Linked DNA regions of Elephas maximus indicus. The protein of the gene in region 1 interacts with the protein of each later gene in a pairwise test. Links are inferred from orthologs where the notes say so. Each region holds a gene or a part of one and is shown on either strand. Other genes may lie near its edges.

Region 1 (3,912 bases):
TACTGCTTGTTGTCAGCCTGCTTGAAGGAAATCAATTACAGCTCCAGGTAGAAGTGTAATCTGCCCCTTCTGAGAGTGATGCGGTATGCTCACAAAAACTCAGGATTCCTTGGGAGGGTAGGGGAAAGTCTTCCAATATTTTCTCATTATACACATTCTATGTATTACCAGAAAGAATTCTACACTGTATGCAGAGATCAGCCTCAATTAATCAGGCTAACACATAGGCTCTCTTTCTTTACATGGGCCTTCACTTTCCAAGTCCTGAGTAACCTTTTTACGTAAGTGGGGGCACTGAGCCACATGGACGTGACTATTCTTACTTAGCTCCTCTGTTGCATTTTACAATTCAGTGTCAACAGACATTGATTACTGTAATGTATCCTGGGCTGACCAAACAGCTCCCTCTGGATTCCATTCTGAAGTGAAAAGGCTTCTGGCTTTTCAGCTAGAGCACTCTTGTACACAATACCAAACCACAAGGGGAGCAGCCCTGGGAAATACAATTATCTCAAGGGAAGCTGTGAAACTGGCCTGCAGAAGGTCTGGAAGATTCTCCCCCAGATTCTTGTCTCTTTTTTAGAGATGTTCTAGGCCTGGAGGAATAGAGGAAACTAAAGAGAAAGTTAATTGTTCCTGTAGTCAACATGAAGTATACTTCATGGGGAAGAACTGGCTGTTTCTGGACAAGAGTTTCCATTAGTGTTTCAACTGTTTGGAGTCTGTAAAAATGGGGACCGGGTTTATAGGGGATGTTGGGTGAAAGAGAGGATGATAAGAGTGAGGTAAGAGAATTTGGGCATGATTCACAATCGGGAAGTCTATGAAATGGTTGAGTCCCAAGGCTCGTACTTTGGAAAAGGTGAATTTAGGAAAGTTTCTCCCAGATGGGAGGTAAGAGACCAAAATCCTGCCTGGAAGAACAAGTAAACCCGTTGAAGATCTGAGAATCCTGATAGAATGATCGTAGGCAAATCACTTCAAGCCTTATTCAAATGGAGCTAAATCTAAGAGTTAAAAATCGTTATGCATGTGGATGCATTTTAGAACTGGGATAGGTAAATGTGAAAAACGAACAAACAAACAATAAAATGCCTTAACCATTTCAGAAAATTCTGAAATTTGACGTCATGGCTTCAAATTTTTCAGAACATAATACTTGTAAACGGTGTCTCAGTGCAAGATGGATTTTTTTTTTTGCTGTAAACGTTCCGGGTGAGGTGATCTACAGTGTACGGCCTTGGGGTTTTACCAGGAGCAGAGTTTGTGGAACGCGACCTCCAGTGTATGGCACGGGGCTGAGGGGTGGTGCTGGGCTCCTGGACGAGGTCTGGGTGGGCATATTTGGGAGTTCTCTCAGGGGCTGAGGCCCTCGAGGACTGAAGGCAGTCTGGGAGCGGCGCCCCAAACGAGTGGACGCGCGCGAAGCGGCGCTGCTGGGCCTCGCTCCCAGGTGTCTTAGCTGGGCGGGGCCGGGAGAGGCCCATTTCCCACCTGGATTAAGATGGATCCAATGGGGTCGTAGTTTTCAGTCTCCTGAGCCATGGTCAGGGCCGGGGAGAGTAACCTCCCCCCCGGAGGCGCCATCTCCAGGCGCTGAAACCTTCGGCCAGGGGCGTGTGTCCCCATGGCAACGCTATGCGCGGCCCGGCCTATTCTACCGCGGGAGCGGAAGAGGGGAGCGAGGAAGGAGCCGGGGCGGCCTATCCGTTCCGAGATGGCGCCCTTCCTTGAGTGTCTCCCCCGCACGGCGGCGGCTGTGGTACAGCCCAAGGCGGAAGCGGCTCCTGGACGGAACCGGCTCCAGAGCGCAGCCATGGCCGCGGGCGTCCCCTGTGCGCTGGTCACCAGCTGCTCCTCCACCTTTACCGGGGACCGTCTGGTCCAACGTGAGTAGCGAGGCGGCTGGGCCGGCCTTCAACCCCTCAAGCCTCGGTGGGCAACAGGACCAGGGCCTCAACCTGGACCTTGTCGCCGCCGCAGGTCCTCGGCGGTGGCCTGAGGCTCTCCAGGTTCTTCTCAGTTTCTGTCGAGGTCCCTACCCACGCCCCCAGGTGTCAACCCTGTAACTCTTAAACTCATTGCTTTTCTGCCTGCCCGGTGCACTACTGCGTTACTTCCAGCATCTGTAAAGTGGGACTGATCCCTGCCCAGCCCACCTCACGGGCTGTTGGGAGGATTCAGTGAGATGAAGACCATAAAAGACGCTCTGGAAACTGTATTGAGCTACACGAGTATAAGGTGCAGAGACTGTTGATACAGTTGTGGCTTTTATTGCTGTCCCGGCTCCTGAGGTAGGGAGTATGTTTCCTCTGACTTTCGTGTGTGTTCAATTACTAGGTTAACCCTTGATGTATGCAAGACTTGTTCTTGTACTCTTTACTATGTGGTTAGTCCCTGCTTTGCCTTCTGAGGTTCTCCACCAATATTAGTTTTAGAGTATTTCTGAGCCTAGTCCCTTCGCCTCTGGACCCTCATATTGGTTGTCAGATTAAGTAAGTCTTAAACCCTAAGTGAAGAGACCATTGTGTTGGAGAGAGCACAGCACGGATCATAGGCTCAACTCTGCCGCTGAAGGGCCCTGTGAAGTTGGCTGTAACTCAAGACACCTTTTTCACATCCATGGCGTGGTGTCAGAGCACTGACTCTTAGCTGTATGATTGTGGGTAGGTCACTTAACCTCTGCCTTTCAGTCTTCTCATCTATAAAATGGGCACAATTAATCCATCATTTACAAGATTGTTGGGCTTCATTTAGACCTGGGTTCAATTTCCTGCCGCTTCACCTCCAGTGCAGCCACTGCCCATCTGTCCTGGAGGTTTAACGGGTTCCTGTGATGCTGAATAGGTTTCAGCGGAGCTTTCAGACTGAGACAGACTAGGAAGAAAGGCTTGGCAACCTACTTCCAAAAAATCAGCCAATGAAAGCCCCGTGAATCATAGCGGCCTGACCCCATTGTGCATGGGGAATTGATGGCATTTTTAACAACAGCAGTGTTGTTATTAAAGCATATTATCTCAGTGACCCTCAGTTTTCTAAACTTTAAAATGTACTTATTTAGCAGGGTTATCTGAAAGAAAGGTGAGGTGACATTTGGGAAAGCACTTTGTAAGCTGTATAAAGCATCCTACAATTTTATTTTTTTTTTACACCTACCAAATGTTAGAATCAGGCAGATGTCCCTCCAGCACAGATTTTCTATGACTTAGTTATCGTTTGTGATCACTTAGAATGTTCCTTGCTAGGGTAAAATTTTAATTATAGCACTTATTAAATGGCAACTAACTGCCATTTCCTTACCTCTTAGAAGTGCTCCTTCCCATTGTTTTTTTTTTAACGTAATGTTTCTTTGTAAAAGTAGTGGATTCTCATTAAGTACAATTTAGCATATGGAGAAAAGAAAATGTCATAGTCTCATCACCCAAACACAAACACTGCTAACATTTCAGTGCATTTCCTTCCAGTTTTTCTTCTAATGCATACTTGTTTTTAAATAATTCAAATTATATTTCATATGTAATTTTTATGCTGACTTTTTCACTTCATAAAATTAATTTCCATCACAAATTACATCTAGCAAACATGTCATACTTTGTTCAAGATTCTTAAGCCTCTTGGTATATTTAAATTTCCAAAAAATGTATATCCGTTTTAATTCTCATCACTGAACTATGAAAGTCCTTACGGCCAGCCTCAGAAACCTGTGCTAAGTATTCTGATGGCCATGGTGCTGTATATATCGTATGCTTTAAGGAGCAAAAATTTTTATTTCTTTTTGCTACTCATAGGCCTGGGACTCAGAGGCCTTATTTGCAGTATTCTAGGTGGATGTCTGCCATTATATAAAAGGGGCATTACTGATTTCCGTTGTAGGCTTTTAAAGGGAAATGAAGGCTCAGGAGCCTGAGGGAC
Region 2 (3,912 bases), on another chromosome or scaffold:
TAAGTTGGAATCAATGCGATGGCACGCAACAATAACAACATGGTGACTCTATATTTAACTTCTTCAGAAACTGACAAGCTGTTTTCCAAAGTGGCTGCTACTATTTAAGTAACTTAAGGAGCCCTGATGGTGCAATGGTTAAGCACTAGGCTGCTAACCGAAAGGTCAACAGTTCGAACCCACCAGACTCTCCACAGGAGAAAGATGTGGCAGTCTGCTTCCGTGAAGATTACAGCCTTGGAAACCCGAGGGGGCAGTTGTGTTCTGTGCTATAGGGTTGCTACGAGTCGGAATCGACTTGATGGCAATGGGTTTGGGCTTGGTTTTTAACTGCTCAGTGCCTCAGTTTATTCACCTGTAAATAGGAATAATAATAGTACTATCCATATAAGGGAGTAATGAGGAACAGACAATGTAGAAGTACTCTAACAAACGCCTGGCTGAATAAGCGTTCTGTGTCAGCTACGACAATCAGCATCAGATATGGCTAGGAAATTTATTATGGTTTTGAAAAGCCAGGTCAACCCTCATAGTGCTGCTGTGTAAATTTAATGAGTTAATGCCAGCTATGCTTAGCCTATGTCTAGTATATACTGCACACTCAATACAGTTAGCTATTATTATGACTCAGAGCAGTTTGACCAACTGGCTAAGAACCCAGACTTTGGAGCCAGAATAAATCCTGGCACTGCTCACTACTGGCTGTGTGTCCACAGGCAAGTCACTCAACCTCTCTGGGCCTCCGTGTCTTTCCCCTTGTGTATAATGGACAAAATGAGAGAATACCTCCCTCACAGGACTGCTGCTCAGGTTAATAAGCACAAGGGGTACAGTACAGTGACTAGCACAAACTGTGTGTTATACACTCATTGTATAATGTTTAAGTATTAGCTCTTTTTAGCATTGTAATTCTTCATTATTTGTCTTTGAGAAAACCATGCCCCAAGCTCACCCACTAGGAAGCCTGCCTTTGGGCCCAGTTCTGTCTGACACAGGCATACTTATACCCATTTTATAGATGAGGAAACTGAGGCTCAAGGAAAGGAAGTCTCACAGCCAAAAAACAGAGCTGGGAGTCAGACGGCTTTGCCCTAAACCCCCCTACCCTGACTTGTGGGAGCCTCCACCCTTTAACTGGAGTCCACTCTCTTTGCTAAGGCATATTTGCCACACTCTATCCCCCCCTCCCCCAACCAACCAAGCTGGACGGGAACAGGATATTACACTCTCCTTCCAAGAACCCCTTCTGCTGAGCCAGGGAAAACCACTTCCTGACAGGGCAGGGGTCCTGGGCAGGAAGGGAAGAGGCCTGGGGGGAGGGCACACAGGCAACCATAGCCTGGGGGGGCAGAGCTGGAGATATATAGGGCATATGGAAAGGGGAGCTAGAAAGAGGCCCACAGAGCTGAGGGGAAGGAGCTCAGCCACTTGCCCCCAAATTCCCTCATACACCTCTTCCGTGTCTTCTCTCCCACAATTAGAATCTTTCCACCTCTGGGGATTCACCCTGAGAAGTTTCCTCCCCCCTACTGCTCACCCCTCTGGATGCCCCATGTGGATACCCCCAACTTTCCCAATCTCCCAGACCTTCTCCTCTGGAGATACTCTCTTCGACCTCCACTCTCTCCATTTCAATCCCTTCCCTCAGGCCTCAATGGGCCATTTTTTTAAGACATTCCTTCTCTGACTGAAACGCCTCGTCCGGTGTTCCAAAGACCACATCTTGCCTCCTAGAACACTGCTGTTCTGACATCTTCCTCCATTCATTGCCTTTCTAGACTCCCTGCTCAAAGAACACTTTCTTCTGTTCCAAAGCCCACCATTCTGGGGGGAGGGGTGCTGCCCTCTCCCCAAATCCAATTACTAGCCCCTCCCCCACGAGCCCCCTCCCATCTCCTGCACCTCCTCTCACCTCCAAAGCCTCCTCCCTATCCCCAGAGACTACTCCTCTTGGGAAAACCAGCTCCAATGCTCGCCAGTTATTTCTGGTATCCACTCCCTACCTCCACCCCTCTCCCCCTTCGCAGCCCACATTCCTCGACTCGAAAGCCCCATTCATTCCCTACAGTTGCCTTATTCAGATCTCCAGCGCCCAGTCCCTTTCCCTTGAGATCATCTCCCTTTCCCCAGCAGTATCCCGTCCCTGTTTCAACACCTCCTCTCCGCCTGCGATGCCAGCTCCCTACCTCTGGAGACCCCTCCCATCAGGAAGGGCCCCCTCTCCCCAGTTCCAAAGTCTCTCATTCGCCTCCAACGCTCCCGCCTCACACTAAGAGAGTCCTCCTATTAGCGTGCCCCCTCCACACCTCCAATCCCCTCGCCTTATCCCTGAGACCCTGCCCTGCCAGTCTTTTCCTCCCTTGTTTCAAGAACCCCACCACCTCCAATGTCTCCCACCCGCACAGCCCTCTCCCCGTGACACTCCCCTCGCGTCTCCAATGTCCCTACGCCTCGGGACCCCCAGCCACCCCCGAGCGAAAAGTCACTGCCGTGTTCCCCCCTCCCTTCCCGGTCCTTGATCTTCCCCAACTCTGCGAGCCCGCGCTCGGCCCAGACCATCGCACCGCGGCAGGGGGGTTGTCATTTGCACAACAGGGCTTAGGTGTCTGCACGCGGACCCCCCTCCGCCCGTCCCAGGCGAGGGCGCGCCCCCGTTACCATGGCGACCCCTGTCCGGACCCCAGCGGCCCCGATCCAGTGGCGACTGGAGGGCTCTGGCTCTGGCTGCAGTTGGGGGGCTCAGGGCTAGAGCGGACTTCCGGCAAGGGGGCCCGCCTGCCTTCTCACGCACGGCCCGCTGGGAGTTGTAGTCCGGCGACTCGGTCAACACGTCCCAGCAGCAAGCCAGCGAAAAGGGCCAGGCCCTTTTCCCGGCATGCTGAGCGACAGTCCTCTTCGTACCACACGATTCAAACCCCAAGTGCATACTGGGAGTTGTGGATGAGCATCTCTCAGAGGACTACAATTCCCGAAGAGCTTGACAGCAAGATAAGTAAGGCTTGCATTCTGGGAAATGTAGTACGTGCCCCACCACAGCCTCCGAAGAGAGAAGGGCATGCTGGAAATAACTTTAAGTAAGAAACTACGTTAGGGAGCTAGAAATGTAACTTTTAGTGCTCACCCAGTGCTTTGGTTAAATTATGTTGACGGTTTCCCTGCGAGAGACGGACAGTGGTTTAAGAACAGGAATTTGGGAGTGGAACTGTGTGAAAATCCTGCCGTCGCAGTTCCTAGCTGACTTTCAGGCCAGGGAGTTCACCTCTTAAGTCTCAATTTCTTTATCTTTAAAAGAGGGCAGTCATTAAAAGAGGGCAGTCATCATAATAGTTACCCCTTGTAAATACTACCACCATCACTCATCCGTCAGTTTGCTGTATTGTCGTGGCTTGCTCGTTGCTATGATGCTGGAAGTTATGCCACTGATATTTCATATATCAGCAGGGTCACCCATGGTGGACAGGTTTCAACGGAGCTCCCAGGCTAAGAAAGACCAGGAAGAAAAGCCTGGCAATCTACTTCCAAAAATTAGCCAATGAAAACCCTACAGAACACAACAGAATGTTGTCCAATATAGTGCTGGAAAATGTACCCCCTAGGTTGGAAGGCACACAATAGCTACAACGATGGACTGAAAGATCATGAATACTGGTGCGGGGCCAGACAGCATTTTGTTCTGTTCTGCATGGGGTTGGCATAAGTCAGATTTGACTTGATGGCAACTAACAACAACTTCAACCAACCCCTTGGATGGGTGGTTTTAAAGCTGTTAAGCTTTAAAACTGTTAAGCACTGTGCCTGACACATACTAAACGCTCAAAAAATATTAGTTAACGTTATGAATATTCATTGTTAACGTATGTCATGTTATAACAGTCTTCTCATTCACTTCCTATCAAAGGGTACACTTGTCTT

The links.
Region 2: the proteins of AAGAB (region 1) and AP2S1 interact in binary tests that used the Homo sapiens proteins (3 or more experiments, as listed by UniProt). The link is inferred for Elephas maximus indicus from reciprocal best matches to the Homo sapiens genes AAGAB and AP2S1.

What each region holds. Positions count from the first base shown.
Region 1 is NC_064831.1:57,335,947-57,339,858, reverse strand, and holds the start of AAGAB (alpha- and gamma-adaptin-binding protein p34), read left to right. Parts: upstream 1-1,587; 5' UTR 1,588-1,627; coding exon 1,628-1,889; intron 1,890-3,912. Other genes in the region: IQCH (IQ domain-containing protein H), read right to left, coding at 1,495-1,587. UniProt on the Homo sapiens protein: May be involved in endocytic recycling of growth factor receptors such as EGFR.
Region 2 is NC_064829.1:102,156,261-102,160,172, reverse strand, and holds the start of AP2S1 (AP-2 complex subunit sigma), read right to left. Parts: upstream 2,804-3,912; 5' UTR 2,662-2,803; coding exon 2,659-2,661; intron 1-2,658. UniProt on the Homo sapiens protein: Component of the adaptor protein complex 2 (AP-2). Adaptor protein complexes function in protein transport via transport vesicles in different membrane traffic pathways.